Lytechinus pictus: one gene and its partner. The protein of the gene in region 1 purifies or fractionates together with the protein of each later gene. This does not show direct contact. Links are inferred from orthologs where the notes say so. Each region holds a gene or a part of one and is shown on either strand. Other genes may lie near its edges. The genes, in order: testis-specific gene 10 protein-like and WD repeat-containing protein WRAP73-like.

Evidence for each region.
Region 2: the proteins of testis-specific gene 10 protein-like (region 1) and WD repeat-containing protein WRAP73-like purify together in Homo sapiens (co-immunoprecipitation; 6 studies listed by BioGRID and IntAct, counting the BioPlex papers as one, with this or other methods). This does not show direct contact. The link is inferred for Lytechinus pictus from reciprocal best matches to the Homo sapiens genes CEP135 and WRAP73.

What each region holds. Positions count from the first base shown.
Region 1 is NW_026974140.1:11,102,017-11,113,141, reverse strand, and holds the start of testis-specific gene 10 protein-like, read right to left. Parts: upstream 4,696-11,125; 5' UTR 4,264-4,695; coding exon 4,216-4,263; intron 1,284-4,215; coding exon 1,155-1,283; intron 171-1,154; exon of another isoform or gene 141-170; coding exon of another isoform or gene 81-140; intron 1-80. UniProt on the Homo sapiens protein: Centrosomal microtubule-binding protein involved in centriole biogenesis. Acts as a scaffolding protein during early centriole biogenesis.
Region 2 is NC_087258.1:23,372,217-23,383,333, forward strand, and holds the start of WD repeat-containing protein WRAP73-like, read right to left. Parts: upstream 4,747-11,117; coding exon 4,702-4,746; intron 3,600-4,701; coding exon 3,504-3,599; intron 3,036-3,503; coding exon 2,979-3,035; intron 2,367-2,978; coding exon 2,177-2,366; intron 1,501-2,176; coding exon 1,397-1,500; intron 1-1,396.

The DNA of each region.
Region 1 (11,125 bases):
ATTAGATCAACTAGATAGTAGACCAAATGTGTTTGGAAAAGTAAACCACATTGCTGTAGCCTAAGTGCATATAAACCTACCTGTATATTAAGATGGGATATAAGCCTTTCATTGCTATGATTCTTGGCTTCATTTGACATCACACTAAATGAATATAAACCTACCTGTATATTAAGATGGGATATAAGCCTTTCATTGCTATGATTCTTGGCTTCATTTGACATCACACTAAATGAATATATACCTACCTGTACAGTGCGTCCCACAAAAAACGAAACCGAGATTTAGCGATGATTTATCATAACTTAATCACAAATACAATAGACAAATGACCTACCATTGTAAAGCTTAGAATCTCCTCTTTAATCTGAAATTACTTAGATTATTCCTCAATCATGCATGAGTGAGCAAAAACAATTTGAAGAGGGGATACCACAAAGTCATTTGGCGGGGTGTATCTGGGTTTCAAAAAGAAAACCACATTTTTAAAAAGTTCAATATCTGCTCTTTAATTTGATACCTCAATTACAGAAAATGGTCAAGAAATAACAAAGCTATGGTTATTTGAAATAAGGCTTGAATTTCAATAATTTCATAAAATTAAGAGGTTCTACAGGCTAGCGTTCAAACTCACTTGACACTCCGTTTTGTTGACGATCAGCCATGCATTAAGTCTTTTGTTAACCATGCGATAGCTTTTGTGGGAAACCGATGAAAACACGTTTATTTAATGAAATAATGGAAATACAAGCATTGTTTCGAGGGAACATAAATTTTTTACTTCTTGACCATTTTTTGTGATTAAGGTATCAAATAAAAGAGCAGATATTGAACTTTTTAGGCATGTGATTTTCTTTTTGAAATTCAGATACCCCCCGCCAAATGAGTTTTTGGTATCCTTTCTTCAAATTGTTTTCGCTCACTCATGCGTGAATGGGGAATAATCTAAGTAATATCAGATGAAAGCAGAGATTCTAAGCTTTACATTGGTAGGTCATTTGTCTATTGTATTTGTGATTAAGTTATGATAAATCATCGCTTAATCTCGGTTTCGTTTTTTCTGGGACGCACTGTATATTAAGTTGGGATATAAGCCTTTCATTGCTACGATTCTTGGCTTCATTTGACATCACACTAAATGAATATAAACCTACCTGTATATTAAGATGGGATATAAGCCTTTCATTGCTACGATTCTTGGCTTCATTTGACATCACATCAAGGGGTCGACCACCTTCTAGTTGACGACTCAAACGGGTTATTTCTTGATCTCGATTGTCAACCTAAACACAGACAAGAAAAACATGAAAATGATGGTTAAAAATTGAAGACAAAATCAAACAGAATGGATTTAACAAAATGAAATTCAGGAAAGGAATATGCCTAATGTATGCAGCATCTGATGTGCTTTTCTTTAAATCAGAGTTTGAGAAAAAATTCTCATTTGTTGTGTTTTATTAGCAGGTTGTACTGGTATTAAAGTTAAAACCAAATTGAAATTGAGAGAAATATCAATAAAAAACAATTTAACTTGTGTGATTTTTTCCCATAATATACATGTAATCACTGATTTTAAAAATCCTACATATATAGCATCAGGCATGTGTCCTAATGATAGCAACATAAAAATTCTAGGACATGTTCTAAAATTTTGTACCAGTTTAATTGCTTCCACAATCTGATGAAAATACATTCTGAAATACATGTACATTCAAAATACAGATATACCTTCAAGTTTTCAAAATACAACTACATTGTAGTAGAGCACAACATACATGTAATACAAACACATTTAATAATAAAAGTGATGCGAATGACAATAGGCCTGATGGTATCCTGGAGGTCGATACCTACACACATGGCTGTACAAGTAGTCAATGAAAGAAGAATAGAAGAGAATTAAGTGGTGTAATTGTACCAAAATCCCAAAATTGCTGTAAGTCATCAACAGAGCAACAAAGCACCTGCATGTGAGTTTTATATATCACACTTTTGATATAGGTCTGCCCAATGAAAAAATCCCACTCATTTTGCTAATACCAGAATGATTTAGTGAATGCTCATTTTCACATATTAAAGGAGAATGAAACCCTTGAAACCATCTGAATCCATATAAAAGAGAAAAATCAAAGAAACATATTGTTGAAAGTTTGAGGAAGATTGAATGAATAATAAGAAAGTTATGAGCATTTGAATATTGAGATCACTAATGCCATGTAGATCCTCCCATTGGCAATGCGACCAAGATCTGTGATGTCACACACGTACAACTCCCTCATTACTCCAGTACTTATTTCACTTATATTCTCACTTTTATAGAGTCTATCACAAGGTGAGGTGTTCTCTTTATGAGAGGACAAGTACAGAGGTTTCACAACATTATATCATTGATGAATCGTTTGTCATATGATTAGAATGAGCAAAAAGAGATGTTTTGGGGTATATTTTCAGTGTCCAAAACTGGACAACTCTCCCTTTTTGGACACTGAAAATGTACCCCAAAACATCTATTTTTGCTCATTCTAATCATATGACAAATGATTCATCATTGATATAATGTTGTGAAACCTCTGTACTTGTCCTCTCATAAAGAGAACACCTCACCTTGTGATAGACTCTATAAAAGTGAGAATATAAGTGAAATAAGTACTAAAGTAATGAGGGACAGTTGTACGTGTGTGACATCACATATCTTGGTTGCATTGCCAATGGGAGGATCTACATGGCATTAGTGATCTCAATTTTCAAATGCTCATAACTTTCTTATTATTCATTCAATCTTCCTCAAACTTTCAACAATATGTTTCTTTGATTTTTCTCTTTGATATGGATTCAGCTGGTTTCAAGGGTTTCATTCTCCTTTAACATGTAAAAGTGGTCTATTTTAAAATTGAAATTAAATGGTTAATAATATATCACATGACATATTGGCAGCTGGTCACATGTCACAAAATAAAATATTAACAAATTATTAGCTGTTATTTTTCAATGGATATGTTTCAATCTGATTTCCAAGTTCTGATTAAAATGGTCATATTCCATGAAAAAAGTTCATATGACCCAAATCATTTCAGAAACTGGGCATACAGTATAACATACTCAGACGGACCCTTTGGCCCGAATTCACAAAGGTGGTTTTGAAAACCCACGGTTGAATCCATGGTTTATGCAGATTTCCTGTATAAATTACGCTTAATTTAGCGCGTATCGGGTGCGTGTATTAAAGATATCCTATGCTGATGCGCGCTTTTGTCAGTGCGCCAAATTGACGCCTGTTACCATGGTTAGATACGCTATTTTATTCACAAGTCCACTGTTTGAAGAGTGGACTCATGAATAAAAACAGTGGACTCGTGAATAAAATAGCGTGGATAACCACCGCAATTCACAGGCGTCAATTTGGCTCACTGTGACAAAAACGTGCATCAGCATTGGACATTTTTTAACATACGTGGTAAAATAAGCGTAATTTATACAGGAAATCTGCATAAACCATGGACTCAACCATGGGTTTTAAAAACCACCTTTGTGAATTCGGGCCTTTTTATCTGGATCTGAATAAGAGTCCTAAAACCAAAAGTGGTAGCTTCCCATTTAATTATTCCCATTTAATTGCCTTGCTGCACCTTTATTTTCTCTCAATGATGCATATCTAATGAAGTAGGGTAAAATGGCAGATGTAGAAAATAACACCCCACCCCACATCCTCTTCTTCCTTATCCAATCATATTTTGTATCAGATTGAGGCATGTTGAAAGAGGGGGGGAACGCTTCTCAGACTCAAGTCTCATGAAGAGGAATTTTCTTGCAATGCAAGGCAAAAAAAATTCAACATTATTTAGTGATGTTATATAGATCTACAATTCATGAAATAAATTCATAACCATTTTTTTTCCAGTAAATGAAGAGGAATTTTCTTGCAATGCAAGGCAAAAAAAATCAACATGATTGAGTGATGTTATATCTACAATTCATAAAATAAATTCGATGCTAGCCATATTGTATGACCATGGGAAGTAGAACTAAAAAAGGTGAACAGTGAATAGTCAAGCAGAAAAACACCTGCCATCGCATCGAACCGTTACTAGCCTGTGGTTCAGTAAGCGTCCCTGCCGACATGTTTTTCATGTTCTTCTACGTGTGTAATACAGCTAAGTCAATTCAAAGAATGATCAAAACTTCACCCAGCAATAAAGCAACAGCAATTTATCTCACCCTAGTCCTCGATTTGGATTTTCTTCCGCTCCCGTGTCGTCCTGACATTTTAAGCTCCTATATCTATATCCATAAAAAAAGACATTTGAATCGACCAAGAGCGTTGTAGTACTAGCAGCCGACAAGGCGATCGCAAGCTACAGCTGATCTCGTAGTATTTGTATTTGCATTCAAATCCTAACTGAATTTCCACCACCGCATTCATTCAACGATCGCGGTGTGCCCTTTGACCCAAGCCTTTCCCATTGTAAAGTAAAAAAAGATCCATTGAATTCTCTCTAGCTCTCTCTCTATTTCTCTTCATTCATTCGTATCTCTTACAAGGACACCCGTCCACGCTTCGATGGTCTCCAACAAAAGTGATGATTTATGACGCGACGTCTATCGCTATTAAAAGAAAAATCCTGAATGGAACAAAATATTCGCTAAATTAAATTCATCGAAATTCGCAGCGCAGCCAGCATGAAATCATTTGCATATAAATGTTTACACTTGCCTAGCAACTCTTTTATATTTATCAGTTTCTTGATCAACTAATCTGGTGAGTAGTTCGTAAATATTACATAACTGGAATTTCGAGGGGGGACCCAACGCATGGTAAAACTAATTCCCTGGTAAAAACAAAATTAATATTCCAAATTTTTGGTTCTGCAGTAATAGCGGCCTCTTCCACTCTTCTTATGCATTGTATAAAAAGAAGTATACCACAAAAAAAAACTAAAAAACAAAATAATATTTGTGATATCCTGAGTCCTTTCCATATCTTTATACTGGTACATGTTTATTACAACATAAATGCCGACATGTTTCCCCTTGAGTGAGCACCACTTACTTTTAAAAATTTTGTGATAAATAAAAAAAAATTGACAAATGTAATGTAAAAAAATCCCGGGAGGCCACTTACATTGAGACGAGTTGATACCATGCGCGACCCAAAAAACACGTAAAAAGGATGTCTTTTTTCAAGATAGGGCATAAGGGTGTCAAAAACACAAAAATAATGAAAAAAGGTATCTATTTCGCTAGAAAAGTTACGTGTTTAGGGTCAAATTTGCGGGGATGATAAAACCATGGACCTACTAAAATGTTTTATAAAGGATGTCCTTTTTGCCCCAACACTACGTGTTTAGAGTCCGATTTGCACGAGGTGTGGAAGGTGGGGTCGTACTAAACCAAATGATGTGTAAAGGTAAAACCGACGACCGAAGGACCCGTGACATAATAAAATATTCCTGTACTTGTTTAGGGGTTCATTTCAGGGAATACTTGCAAAGAGTATCGTTTGTTTCCAATACTTGTTAAGGGTAGGGTTTCACACGCCAATACTTGTTAAGGGGTGCATTTTCAGAATATGGAAAATACGTGTTTAGGGTGCTTTTCGAGACCCCATGGTCGCGCATGGTATCCACTCGTCAGTAGTCTAGTTCTAGACGATTTTAAACGAATCTATTTGCACCACGATATAATACGTTCTATTCCGTGCGTACGCCCAGCCGAGTGTGCGCGCAAAACCGAGAACCTGTACTCCGAGGAGTACAGGTTCTTTTAAACGAATCTATTTGCACCACGATATAATACGTTCTATTCCGTGCGTACGCCCAGCCGAGTGTGCGCGCAAAACCGAGAACCTGTACTCCGAGGAGTACAGGTTCTCGGTTTTGCGCGCACACTCGGCTGGGCGTACGCACGGAATAGAACGTATTATATCGTGGTGCAAATAGTCCGAGGAGTACAGGTTCTCGGTTTTGCGCGCACACTCGGCTGGGCGTACGCACGGAATAGAACGTATTATATCGTGGTGCAAATAGATTCGTTTAAAATCGTCTAGAACTAGACTAACTCGTCAGTGGAAGTGGCCCCCCGGGAAGAAAATAGACGTAAAACATTAGGAGCACAATCACTTCAAAAGTATTGGGAGTTCACCCCGCCCGCCCTGGTAAGCGAAATACAGTAGGTATATCAAAACGGGGAGGGAAATAGAGAAAATAAGAGAGGAAAAAAATGGTGAAACCGTAAAAAGAGGAAAAAAAGGGTTGTAAAAATATCTAGGGATTAATTCTAATATGGTCTTGAAATTAGGGGCGTCATTTTGTTTTAATTGTATCGACCTACTCACCTAGAATAAGGGGGCTTGTAATTGACTGAAGATAGAAGATAGATAGAAGATAGGTTTTCAAAGATATTGTAACAGCATTTGATGTGAATATTTCAGCTCGCACCTTGCGCTCACATTGTTCATTTGGTAAGATAAGGATCCTGTTTATGATTGCACAAAGAGCGTAACACGTCCCGTTTTACGTTATAAATATCAAAGTATTTCAGCTGGTGCTTCGCGCTCGCATTATTTGATTGGTAAAATATGTATTTTAACTGATTCCTACAAACGAGTCCTAAGAATGTTCCTTTTTCAGGTACATGAAATTTCCCGGAAAATTTCCAAAATTTGCAAAATAATTATTTCGTCCTACATCATTTCTTTGATTTAAAAATTTCAAAAACTCATCTTGGCTTTCTCATCCCACCTTTATTTTCTTCTTTCATTTTTCTGCGATTATTTGATTTTTTTTTATTTACATGTTCAAGATGTTGTCTCCAGAGTCCATACACAATAGATTCATCTACTCTAAAAAAAAATATTGGGTAAAAATGCTCCATGGGGTAATTATTTGTCCAACCAACTTTGGGCATTTCTTTCGGGCAATTTTATTTATCCAGTGTGATGAAAATTTTGCCTTTCAGTTTCTTAAGTAATTGCTGCTTATATTTTAACCTTACTGGACAATATGCTTCCCGCATTGAATAAAATACTGCCCCAAATTTGTTGGACACATAACCCTCGTGCTAAAATTTTACCCTATACAGTGTAGTCATCATTTCTCCCCCCCCCCCGCATGTCTATTTTTTAAAGTTTTGTTGTTTCCTGGAATTCGCAATCTTCTTTTTTCTCTATCCTACCATTACAAGATATCCTTTGCATTTTTATTTCTTCTTCAACTTCTCTTCTATTCCTGCATTTTTGTAATATTTCTTCCCCCATCCTTTTGATCATCATTTACAATTTCATTCTCCGCTTTTCTTTATTCTCCTCTTCTGTTGCATATTGCTTCATGTTCGCAGGGAGCTCGCAGGTTACTCCCTGATATTCGTTTCTTCTTCTCATTCTCTTCTGTTCCTGAAATTTGTTTTCACAATATTTTCCCCGATATCATATCACTTATAAATTCATTCTCCTAATCCTCCCTCTTTTGCTGCTTGTCATTTCTCTTGAATTTTTACTCCTCTACTTTTCTTCTCATTCTCATCCCCCCCCCCCCATCATTCACAATTTTTTTTTTCTTCTTCTCTTCTGTTCATGCTTGTTTTTGAAGATGTTTCTTTTATCAGAGAGACCAACTTCGATCAGGCCCTAAATATATTTTTCTAATCTATTCTTCCTCATTGTTATTACTTACAATGTACTTATTCCTCTTCACTAAGTCATTTCCTATTCTTTCCGTCACCTCACATATTTTTTTTTCACTGTTTTTTTTAATTTGAATATTGTTTGTTGGGACAGGGTCTGTTTCTTTACTATTTCTTCTCCTTTTCTTCATCATACATGTATACTTTCAAACAAGCAAAATAAAAGATACATGCGACACCCTGACAGAGAAGGTCTGTTTTCACAAATTTTGGCTCATTCTCCTGAAGATGACAAAAACACCCTTGTCGAAACGTCGAGTTTGGGTGGTCCTTTTCAGGACCAACATATGCCCACGAAAGAATAGATGGTGTACCGTGAAACCAAACACACTCTCCAAAATAAAAGAATTAAATATTTATCGCATGCTGAGAGTGATGACCGTCTGTCCGACAATGAAAACCATATAAAGATCTCATTTTATCTATTTACATGATTACATTTACCCAAACCTTAGATTAACAAATGACATATTAATGCGGCGATTTTTACTACACCGCTTGCTTACTTTTTAGTTTTACTATCAAGTCTTTCTAAATAAAATTTGTGACGGCCGCCGGCCGGGAAGGGATTTTAAAATTAAAACCTACAAATAAAACAGATAAGAAATTCATTTTAAAGGTAAAAGACAGTAGTTGCAGCGAACAATTATTTCATGCAAGTCTTTGAAATTCAAGTTAATTGTCAAAGTATCATCCTACACATAGATCTGGTACAAAAATTAATGTAAACTAATCTTTGTAAAATAATGAAATATTAGCTCAAAATCGATAATTTTGATGAAAAGCATGTGGGACAGTGTATTAATATTGCTTCGAAATACATGTTAACCCGACATTTGATGGAATTCCGTGCTCATTTTGCAAATTTCTCAGCAATAACGCATGTTCTTCTAAGAGCTGTTTGGCACATATTTTATATTTATACATATCACAAACACTTTGCTGGTAATTTCATTGGATTCTGTTCGAACTCATTTGAGATCATTACCACAAGTCCACAACTGGTATTTATCTTCAAACCTAGTTCATTTTAAACATAATTGTTCGGAATGCGACATCTGCATTCTAAAAACTTTGTTTACATGTAAAGAATTAAACACAGACATACATCAACATAAAAAGCCCCAAAATTAACAACACAGCTTTGTTGATTTACATATCACACTAAAATCGTGCAATTATTTGCGGCGCTCACGTGATCGGCGGCTAAGATCTCGGGAGGGGGAAGGTTGGGAGTTGATCACCCCCCCCAACAAAAAAAAAATAATAATATAATAAATAAATAAAAATAAATAAGTAAGTAAGTAAATAAATAAATAAATTAATTAATTAAATAAAACAATAATAATAAAATGAATGAATGAATGAATTGATTGATTAATTAATTAATTAATCAATAATAAAAATAATAACAATAAAATGGCCTACATGTAGTTAGGGTTAAAAAGATATTTATCACTATGTTGCTGTAAACAGAAGAATATAAACAATATATTAGTGGGGCTGGAGGTGCTATGAATGACTGACAAGTCTAATGTGCCTGACTATTGGGGTGTTGCAAGAAACTTGCGATTGAACGCAAATCGAACGCAACTCCCAAAATTGAGCGTAAGTCCTCCGATTAAACGCAAATCTGCAATTGAACGCAAGTTACGTTCAATCCTGTTGCAAGAAGAAGTTGCGTTTGATCAATTGAACGTAGATCAAGCGCAAGCTTTGCAATTGATTGCAAATCGAACGTAACTTATGTGAGATTTTGGAGGATGCGCAAAATTTGCGTTTGATTTACGTTCAATTGATTGTCCATAGGCTTGTGTACTAAAAATTCTGCAAAAATTTTCTTTTTGTATTTTGTTTTGAAAAATTGTGTAAATTATGCCATTTTCAATTTTCCATGGGTTTTTTTCAAGAAAAACTTGAAATAATGTTATTTTCAATCTTATAGGCCTCTTCAGCAATTATGCCATTATTTTCACACAATTTCACTACATTCTCTCCTAATATCATTTTAAAGTGTGTCAATTAATCACCAAAAATATTCTGCTCTTGTTATCAGAGGTCATGGAATATTCAAATTGTGATTTCTGAAATAATTTGTATAAAAAAATATTGAAGAAATATCAATTCTCCATAGGCACAAAAAAGCCACTCTTCATTAAAACACTTCATGCACTGGCAAATGTTTATCAATATTTCTGAGGGTTTGCAGTAAATACAACTCAGAATTTGTTTTGCAAGAGCACCAAATTGCTTCAATGCTTTCATTCATAAATATCATAATGAATAACATGCCCAATTAAGTTATTTTAGTTTGATTTTCAAATAAAACATACATTTCAGGAGATTGCTACACTTCAAAATCTGAAGCTCTCTTGTTTCTCTCTCTTTAATCATGAGATTGCATGGTAGATATATATCACACTTGCATACAGGGATGAGGTCGAGGCTGATTCTTCCGAGTCATGAGGCAGCTTGAGAGAACTTCCCATAGATTCTGTACAGTGACTCGGACCAAGGCCAGCAAAATGTTGTCTCGAGGTCAGCATTGACTACATCCCTGCTTGGAAATGAAAAGATCCATTGATCTATGCACAAAAAGAACACTGCTCAAGACATTCATTATTGATTGACCTTTTATTTTTAATTTTCATTGTTTCTTACTCCTGAGGAATTACTTCTGAGATTCATTTATATCAAATAAAAATTCATATCATCTTCATCAAGTGTTTTACCACTGAATGTCAGCCCACAGTCCTTAATGTTGGCAAGAAGAATCCATAGAAGTCCAGTCAGGAAAGCCACAAGCTTCTCTGCTTGAAGGAACAAATTTGGTTTCCAGAAGCAGTCTAATTTGAGATGACTTTGGAGAGCTCCATGGAGTGAAGTTTTTAAACCAGCAACACCCTCATTCTGAAGTCCACTCTAATAAGATGTTACTACAGACAGGAGCAGCTCTGAATTCAGTTCTGATAATCAACCTGTTCATAAAAAAATAATAATATAGGAAATAATGCAAGCCCATAACCATACATAGCTTTGGTTAGTTCAAATTTTGTCCTTTCAGTGCAAGAACGCCCTTAGCAAAACATTTTTGTGCACCCCATCAGTGCAGAAATGCCCCTATGCCTGCTGGTAAGGGCGTTGTTTGCAACGACAAGATGATATGATAGAGGGATAGTGGCTTACTCCTGAGACCATAATAATTGGCAATTTGCCATGATGTAATCTAAAAGTGTGAAAACTGATTGTTTTTCCCCAAATAAATGAATCATGGAAATTAAAATATGCAATAAATTAAATCAATGAAAGCAAAATTCACAATTTCATACAGTACACATTGGATGAGCACAACAACCACCCCCTCCCCCCCCCCCATCAATGGGGGTGTCTTCATTGCTGAGAAGTCCAAGTCAAGATAGAGATTTGTATTTGCCTTTTTCATTTTGCA
Region 2 (11,117 bases), on another chromosome or scaffold:
GGAGCATAGGATCATGTTTTGGGCTGCATGCTTCGTGTTCACAACTTCAGATAGGTGTTGTATTGGACATCCAGAATGCCATTGTGCAATTTGGCCACAGAGGCCCGTATTCTGAACACAGATTTCAATTGTTCCACCGTACAAAACCATGGACTATGCAGATTTATTTCATTAACACGCTTCATTTTAAGCGCCAAAAGCGTGCATTTAATTGGATTTAACTTTGTGTACGCGATGAAATAAGCATAATTATGTTTAAAAATCTGCATAATCCATGGTCCATGGTACAATTGAAACCTCTTTTGAGAATACGAGCCAGAAAGTCCAGGATGAACATAAGTTGTTGTTTTTTTTACTGTGCACAGCATTATAATAAAAACTGACTTTTGGCTTGCAGAGTGTCTTCAGTCCTTAGTTTGCCAATAACTCAAAATACTATTCCACTAAGATACAAACAATAATAGCTGAATAGCTGAAGAGTAGAATTTTAAATGTTTCAATTACTTTCGTAATCAAAGGATATTCGTGACAATTTGAAAGCCTGCCACATACATCAACAAGGAATACATGCAATTTACTGAAGCCAGAGGACTATATTGTGATTTATGCATTACTAAATTTCTTGAATTTAACAAAAGAAATCATAAACAAAGCAAAACAAAATTGAATAAACAAAACATTCATTACGGGAATAACAAATGCTTTATATATACATACTTTGTATATTCACAGATATTCTTATTCTTTGTTGCTGTTATGAGTTTATATTCAAGATCTTTATAACATTATGATTACTTTATGTTGTGGTCAAGATTCACCATGTAATATTATCAGTAACAAGTAAATAAATAAATGAAAATAAATAAACAAACTAACAAATAAGTAATTAAATAAACAATAAACTAAATAAATAAATGAATGAATGAATATATAAATAAATAAATTAATAAATTAATTAATAAATAAATAAATAAATAAAAATAAATAAATCAATCAATTAATTAATAAATAAATAAATAAAAATAAATAAATGAATAAATAGATAAATAAAATAAATAAATAAGTAAATAAATAATGTATAATTGGTTACTTTTTTCTTGAGAAACAAATATCAAATAAACTTTGATTACTAAAAATACAGGCCTATCACTTTTTTTGCTGTATTTATTTTATTAATAATAATAATACATAACATTTATAAGGCGCTTACTACTGGTGTTTCTAAGCGCACTGTTTTCTGTTTATGGTTTGTACTTGACTACTTTATTGACTACCAGGGCTCACAGGGCCTCTAGCTATGCTCATAATTGAAAGTTCACTTTCACTATCTTTTTATATTACTTGTATAGTTGTTCAAGTTCAGAACCAAATCAATAGATCAAATGAAATTACTCACTTTAACAAGTTGCCATGTATTACAAGCAAAGACACTGATGAAATCCTTGCAGTCCCTTCTCTCAGCTAGCGCCATGTACTTGCCGTCTTTAGTGAAATGCATTCCTGGAATAAATAAATTGATTTCACAAAGATTAGATAAGATCCTCATACAAAAATTGAATAATCACATAATAAACAGATTTGTTAGTAACACATATTAAGCAACAACATGTCATTCATTCTACACCTGTTAGTAAATACATTCAGTATATTCAGCTTAAATATAGCAAATGTAATAATAATAATAGTCAGTTCTTGTATAGCGCATAACACATTATGAATAACGTCTCTATGCGCTTCCAAAGGACTTGGATATTATTACCCCGGCTGTAGCTCAAGCAGCCTTTCCAGCGCTCGGCATTTCAAGGAATGAATTCCTGCCAGGTACCCATTCACCTCACCTGGGTTGAGTGCAACACAATGTGGATAAATTTCTTGCTGAAGGAAACTACGCCACGGCTAGGATTTGAACCCACGACCCTCTGTTTCAAAGTCCGGAGACTAATCCACTGGGCCACAACGCTCCACATGCAATTCCTAGTTTATCAAATTATCACTAACATCTGCATCTGTGAACTTGTGTGTATCAAAGAACATCCATTTTATTCACAACAGAACATTTACATAACTTTAATCAATCTATATGTATTTGGTTACTATAAAAATTAAAGACTGCTTTTATTTTCATCTATAACATGAAGGATAAAAAACAAGCAAAGACCAGAAATTGAATACTCACCTTGCTTTGCCTCTTTAGGATACTTGATATAGGACACTGACCGGTTGACCAATGACCAAACCGTGATCCTCAGGTTGAACTCTGCTGTGGTCAAGATATGACGTCCATCAGCACTCCATCTCACACTGACCAGTCCAGCTGACCCTTCATCTATCTTGCATGTCCATTCAGGCTGCTCCAATGACCATACCTATAATATACGATTGATAGAATACATCGGGGGGCGTTTCATGAATGGATATTTTGTCTGACAAGTCGTTTTATCCGACAGTTATCACAGGAGCTGTGCTTCTCAACGAATCAAAACAATTTTGAAAAATTGTCTGATCTGACAACTTGTCGGACGAAAATGTTGATTATGTACTCCCCTGGACCAAGTAAACAACCTTGAGGGACAACATGCAAGATTGTTATTTCATCTTAAACTTATAAACAGCAAATTTGATAGTGTGTTGTAGGAAGAAAGGAGAAATCCAAAATGTTCATGGAGAGATATAAGAAAAAATACACAGAGTTTGCTTTTAATAAACTGAGAACAGGATAGAACAAGAAAGAGAATGTGTAATCAAGAATGCAAATGTCTGTAAACCCTTCAAAAGAGATGCATTCATTTAATGCTAAAACAATGAATTTAAATGATGATAGTGATGATGATCATCATCATCATTGTCATTTTCATTATCTTCATGATCAACATAAAAATATTGTCTATCTTTGCAACACACCATCATCATAATCACCATCATGATAATGATGCTGATAATGGTCAGGATAATAATTATATTTTTTAATCTACACTTACCTGCACTATCCCTCTTTTGAACATCCCACATAAAATAAATTTGGAATCTGAAGACCACTATAATAAAAAGAAAACAATACAAAAAAGTTATTTTCAGCACTGTCATAAACAGAGACTGCAGTAATAATGTTACCAAATAAACAACCTTGAACGAAGTCATCCAGAAGTTTGAACCTAGTCTCAGAAGACTTCCTCGGTCTCAAGTACTCACTTCAGTTAACCCACCAAGGCAAATATATAAATATTAATTGACTAATCAATATCAATTGATTAAGTTTATATCCTAGTCAAATTGAATTAAACATGGAAAAATGTTGCTTATGAATTTACATGTACATGAGCCATGCTTGAGTCTCAATTCACATACTAGAATAAATCCTAGAAATGAAAATGAACTGCCATGGAATGGAGTCATTTGTACTCAATTTCATTCAACCATGGTAATCTGGTAACCTCCTTTACTTTATCGGTATCACAAAAACAAACCTTCAAAGGAAATCTGATAAAAAATATCAAGTGACTAACCTCCAAACACTGGATCGCATCAAGACATGTGTAAAGCTGAAGAATCTGTAGAGTATGCACATCTCGAACAATCAGCCGATACTGGACACAACTCGCCTGGAAAGGAGTATGGAAAAAATTTATTTTCAAAACATATTGACATAAAAACCATTATTTATCATGGCTGTAGCCAGTCATTAGGGATCTGATGCAGAAAAATTTGCATCTGAAAGCAACTAAAAGATAAAGTCCTTAAAACCCGCTTTTGATTGAAAGGTAAATTAAAAATGAAATTATGAGTTTTGGAGTCGAATATGATTGTGGAGCGTTGTGGCTCAGTGGCTTAGTCTTCTGACTTTGAAACAGAGGGTCGTGGGTTCGAATCCCAGCCATGGCGTAATTTCCTTCAGCAAGAAATTTATCCACATTGTGCTGCACTCGACCCAGGTGAGGTGAATGGGTACCCGGCAGGATTAATTCCTTGAATGCATGAGCGCTGATAGGCAGCTCGAGCTAAAGCCAAGGTAATAAACAACGTGCCTCGGAATAGATTATTTCTAGATAGATGGCGTTGTATAAATGCCTATTATTATTATTGCAATTCTTTCTGCAACAGGCTCCTGGGGCAGTATTCTGAACATTGTCTTCTCTTGATATTTTATCTTTTCTCAGAGATATGACACAATCATATTTTCCTTCTCTCTTTTAAAAATCTTTGTCAGCTTTCTGTCTCTCTGTATGTTAAACGCATTAATATGATGTGCAGTCATGCAGTGTCAGTTACTGTATCAGGGTTCCCAGCTTTTAAATTAAACAAAATTCCTTGATTTTCCCTGAAGTTTTCAAATTTCCTGATAATTATTCAAACCCATTCCCAGTTTTGCATGTTTTCTAAGTTGTTGCATTGAATTACATGTATTTTCAGTACTGTACTGCAGTCAAAGAGGCTACACTAATTAACCACCAAAACCAGTCATTCATTGGATGTAGTTTTGATACACAACAAAATATAACAGAGTCTGGCTGACTACCGTGCTTTCGACCTTTGGGCAGCCCAAAGGCTGATCAAAATTCTTTGATTTTCCCCTCATTTGAGGTATTTTATATCGAATTCCCTGATTTTTCCATGACTGGAAAAAAGTAAATAATTTTCCCTGATTTCCCCGATGGGCTGGGAACACAGAAATATAATACACGTAGAAGGATTGTTGTCATTCACCGTACACACACCACGATGGCCCCGCTCGAGCGCACACGCCGCCATCTTGTGTAGAGCAAAGATCCCGGGCGTCTACTGTATGCGTTCACAGCTAGAGCACTTTGCTGAATTGAAATTGTGAATTCATTCATCATGAAACGGGCATTTAATTTTGATTATTATTTTTTCTCTCTCTTCTATTTGCCACTTGTTAGTTTTTTCTGCCTTCCCCTTTCATGCTTCTATCTAACAGCTCTTCTGCCCCCTCTCTACTAGCTATATCTGTCTGTTCTTGGTAATTTTTTTCTTCCCTTTTTCTCTTGATTCTCCTCCTTTATTTTTATCACAAATTTTCTGCCCACCCTCTCCATTTATCCTTCTTCCCTCTATAGCCATCTAATGGCTCTTGGAAATTATTCTTGCCCCTTTTTCTCTTGAATGTCCCCATTCTCTTTCTTTAGTTTTATCCAACATTGCTTCTGCCCAACTTCTCTCTTTATCCCCCTCTCCCTCTCATGTCATCCAATAAATCTTGGCAATTATTTCTGCCCCCTCTCCTCTTGATTTCTCTCTCTCTCACTTCTGCCAGTTCTTTTCACCCATCTCTTTCTCTTCGTTAAGTGCTGAATTTGTATTCGCTCACTTTGCTCGGAGAATCCAATTCTCTTTCCAATTCTGCCTTTCTCACTACCTCCTTATGTTTTTAATATCTTTCTCCTCTTCTGCCTTTTTTTCTATTTGCTAATAATAAATGTCAATATGAGCAAGTCAGTTAATGACATAAAAAATTGATTCCATGGTTTCAAGAGTTTGATGTGAACAATATTTATTTCTGAGCTGTGGCAATAAGAAATGTGATAAAGATTCTTGTTAAAAATACAAGAAATGATAGATAAATATACTGCAGAACAGCACACAAACAAAATAGTACTGAAGTGGTGTACAATACATGTATATTTTCAGGAAATGAGTTGACTCCACAAGATCACAAGTCGTCCATAAGCCAAACGTAATCTTTACGAAAAACCAATCTGAAGCTGAACTTCATGCAGTTACAGCAATAAAATCAACTTATTTGTGTCAATTAACTGCATAAAATCATTAAGGAATACCGTTCATCGAGAAGTGTAAAAACATCTATATTTAATTCGCATACTGTACCTATCCAAAATTTCACAGCATGTTATATGTATGCTGTACTAGTATGAGTTTGAGCAAATATTGAATATCGTATGATAGAATCAACATAGGAGTACAAGGATTCGGAAGTACATGTGTGTATTATTGTGCACGTAGAGAAGAAAATATTATTCATTATAATGTTATATTATATTATAATTATGTTAAGTTACATTACATAAGAAACATTTTTATCATAACTTTATAAAACATAATTTGCCCAGGGCCTACGTCTCAATTGTTCCTGGTGCTCGCATTGTCTGTTAAACGAGATATATAATCCTGTTGTACCAAAACATCCCGTTTTCAAGTCAATATAAACCAAATATATTTCCTAGCACTTGAGTTATCATTGTTTTATGTAGTGACATATGCTTTTTTTTCATGACTCAAAAGTGATTGCCCCATGTTAAGGTCTTCGTATATATGAAACATTTCCTGTCCGTGATTACGTTCGCATTTTTAATGGATTGTTGAGATATGTCTACTCTTCATGAATTCCTAAAATCAGTCCTTAAAATGTCCCTTCTTCTGATCTGAATATCAAAAATTTTCAGCCCGCGTTTCGCGCTCGCATCATTTGGTTAATGAAATACGTATGGTCCTGGTTAATTCCTACAAAGAAAACTTAGAATGCCCCACTTCAGGTCTGAATTATCTAAGTTTTCAGCTCGCGCTTCGCGCTCGCATTTTTAAGCGAGACAGGTACCTATCATGATTACACAAATTTGATTATAATGTCCCTTTTTAGGTGTGAATATAAACAAATTTCAGCTCGCGCTTCGCGCTCGCATTATTTGATGAGTGAGATACATATCCGTTTAATGACATTGTCCTTAAAATGTCTCTATTAGGTCACTCACTCAGTCATTCAAAAATTTTGCTGGTGCCCCCCCCCCAATGCCGTGACCCACGGTACGCCACTGTGGACATATCAATGACAATTCCTTGCATATCTAATAACATGATTGCAAAAAAATGCCAAAATATTTCAGTCATCCCCCCCACCCATCAACACGGATTTACGCCAGTGCAACATAGTAAAGGAAAATGGGAAATTCCGGCAACACGTAGGCGTGAATAAATAGAAGGCAATAACAATTACTGTGAAAAGCGAGAAAGGACGCTAAAAGTTTCTGGTTTGAATTTGATTCTCAACTTGATTGGATGTATTATCTTCAATTTTAGCTTGGATGGGACTATTTATTTTGACATAATTTGGTGTCGGAAAAATAATTAAAAACCTACCGTGTAAGGAGGATTTCATTTTGATGCTCTGATTGATGTACAGATAGGACCACTCGGTTATATGAAAGTAAGTCAGTCGGCTTATACAGAGATGAGGCCTCAAAAGCGTTGCTTTGCTGTGACCATGGACGTACAACCAATAGGTCCATGCCGTGAAAGAGGGGGAAATAATTGGTGACACTTCGTAATTCCGAAGGATCGTTATTCCGAAGTTTTACTATTCTGAAGGTTCGTAATTCCAAAACATGTTAAGTGCCTATACCTCGATGTACGTTAATCCGAAAACGATAAGAGGTTCGTTAGTCCGAACATTTGTGGCGTTATTCCGAAGGCTCGTCAATCCGAAAATGAAATAAGGTTCGTTAATCCGAAAATGAAATGATCTGTTGCGAAACCGGAAAAACTGGAAGGGCAAGCGTTTGTGGAGGGGGGGGGGGGGGTAGAAACACCATTTCATTTTCAATTGTTATGAGGATGGGAAGGGGCCAAACGTAATTTCGTTGGGGGGCAAAGCCAAAAAGAGGCACTTATATGTTAAAATTGGTCTGTTGGTGATATTTTCACCACGAGATTATCATCTCTGTGTTGTCGTTGTGTGTTTTGTAGTAATTAAAGGAGAATGAAACTCTTGGAGCAAGTTAGCTTTTGTGAAAGCAGCAAAATCAAAGAATAAGATCAACAAAACTTTGAGTAAAATAGGACTAGCAATAAAAGAGTTATGAGCATTTGAATGTCGAGATCACTAATGCTATGGAGATCCTCCCATTGGCAATGCGACCAAGATCTGTGATGTCACACACGTACAACTCTCCCATTTGGACACTGAAAATATACCCCAACTTCTCTTTTTGCTCATTCTAATCATATGACAAACGATTCATCAATGATATAATGTTGTGAAACCTCTGTACTTGTCATCTCATAAAGAAAACACCTCACCTTGTGATAGACTCTATAAAAGTGAGAATATAAGTGAAATAAGTACTAAAGTAATGAGGGAGTTGTACGTGTGTGATACACAGAAATATAATACACGTAGAAGGATTGTTGTCATTCACCGTACACACACCACGATGGCCCCGCTCGAGCGCACACGCCGCCATCTTGTGTAGAGCAAAGATCCCGGGCGTCTACTGTATGCGTTCACAGCTAGAGCACTTTGCTGAATTGAAATTGTGAATTCATTCATCATGAAACGGGCATTTAATTTTGATTATTATTTTTTCTCTCTCTTCTATTTGCCACTTGTTAGTTTTTTCTGCCTTCCCCTTTCATGCTTCTATCTAACAGCTCTTCTGCCCCCTCTCTACTAGCTATATCTGTCTGTTCTTGGTAATTTTTTTCTTCCCTTTTTCTCTTGATTCTCCTCCTTTATTTTTATCACAAATTTTCTGCCCACCCTCTCCATTTATCCTTCTTCCCTCTATAGCCATCTAATGGCTCTTGGAAATTATTCTTGCCCCTTTTTCTCTTGAATGTCCCCATTCTCTTTCTTTAGTTTTATCCAACATTGCTTCTGCCCAACTTCTCTCTTTATCCCCCTCTCCCTCTCATGTCATCCAATAAATCTTGGCAATTATTTCTGCCCCCTCTCCTCTTGATTTCTCTCTCTCTCACTTCTGCCAGTTCTTTTCACCCATCTCTTTCTCTTCGTTAAGTGCTGAATTTGTATTCGCTCACTTTGCTCGGAGAATCCAATTCTCTTTCCAATTCTGCCTTTCTCACTACCTCCTTATGTTTTTAATATCTTTCTCCTCTTCTGCCTTTTTTTCTATTTGCTAATAATAAATGTCAATATGAGCAAGTCAGTTAATGACATAAAAAATTGATTCCATGGTTTCAAGAGTTTGATGTGAACAATATTTATTTCTGAGCTGTGGCAATAAGAAATGTGATAAAGATTCTTGTTAAAAATACAAGAAATGATAGATAAATATACTGCAGAACAGCACACAAACAAAATAGTACTGAAGTGGTGTACAATACATGTATATTTTCAGGAAATGAGTTGACTCCACAAGATCACAAGTCGTCCATAAGCCAAACGTAATCTTTACGAAAAACCAATCTGAAGCTGAACTTCATGCAGTTACAGCAATAAAATCAACTTATTTGTGTCAATTAACTGCATAAAATCATTAAGGAATACCGTTCATCGAGAAGTGTAAAAACATCTATATTTAATTCGCATACTGTACCTATCCAAAATTTCACAGCATGTTATATGTATGCTGTACTAGTATGAGATTGAGCAAATATTGAATATCGTATGATAGAATCAACATAGGAGTACAAGGATTCGGAAGTACATGTGTGTATTATTGTGCACGTAGAGTATACTGTAGTTTCCTTTAAACTTGGAACATATTTAAACTTATCCCACCAGTAAAATCAGTTAAATAAAAGAAAAATCAAACAAAACATAGATTGTAAAACACTGAAAAAAATTCACTTTCCATCATAAACAATTATAGGTACAGTACATCCTGGTTAGTATGCAAATGGGGAGCATCTGCCTACAGGTGCACCAGTACTTCAAAATATAAAAATGATATCTAATTAATGAGCACTAATCACAAGAAATCTAAATGAAAATGTGATTAGAAAAAATAATTGAGTTATTGAATTCCAAATTTTGGCAACTTTTTCTGAAAACAGCTTTTTGCATGCCATGAAGAATATGCAATAGGTGGGCTGTACATGTATAATTTCTGTGGTTGTATTCCTCTTCCAATACTTATATAATTTCAGTGTTTTGTTCGTCAGATTTGCCTCTACTTGTTCACATATTTTTCAAGCGTGGAATATGTACATGTATTACTTAATACATAGTGAACATATACATGTAAATTTCAAGGTATGTATAGACTAATACATTTAGCTGCTTTCAAATTTTCATCAAAATAAAGAATTTCTTTATTTAAAACTCAAAAAGAAAATGTGTTGCAGATTTAGAATAACCCTGAAAATATATTATTTCTCTAGCACTAGGTAGCATACAAAATAAATGACATGGCATTTACCCGTACACATGACATTTATTTTTTAATCATCAACAATTATATGTATTCATAATGCAATAATGAAAGAGACAAAATATTGCAACACTATTAAGGCAAGTTTTGAATAGATATTTTGGCACTGAACACATGATCAAGGCTTAAGCTATAAATTTACAATTTTGTGTGAGACATGCACACTATACTTGAATATACGGTGCTTGAATGGTTAGACATCTTGTGCTAGCTGTCTTGATAAAATTCTTTTGGATTATCAATAAGTACATGTATTGATATTGCAATAATGAAAGAGTCAAATGAAATGTAAATATTGCAACACTATCAAGGCAAGTTTTGAATAGAAATTTTGGCACTGAACACATGATCAAGGCTTATGCTATAAATTTCCAATTTTGTGTGAGACATGCACACTCTACTAGAATTCATGGTGCTTGAACGGACAGACATTTTGTGCTAGTTGTCTTGATAAAACCATCAGTCCAGACGGATATACCTGGTAATAGTTCATATTGTAATGATAAAGAAAGAGTCCAATGAAATGTTTATATTGCAACACTAATAAAGGCATGTTTTGAATACACATTACGGTACTATACACATGATCAAGTCTTTAAGTTTTCTTGTTAAGATCATTCATCAGCCTGAATGGATAACAATAATTAACATTGCAATGATAAGGAAAGTCAATGTTTTAATAATGCAACACCATTAAGGCTACATATTTACAAATTGTGTGAGACATGCACACTATTGGTGTTTGAATGGACAGACATTCTGTGCTTGTTTCCTTGCATCAGTTGCATGCTGGCTAAACTTCTAAAGGCATCAGCATGAATTACAATTTTTTCTGGAAAGATGTATTTTTTGTAATTTGTAGCATGCATAAAACAAGGGAAAGTTGCTGGCACTTCCATTCCCAAATTTTGCAATCTGGTAAAAAAAAAAAAAAAAATCCTTTGCCGGTGGAAGTTGAATATGGTTGGAATTGCA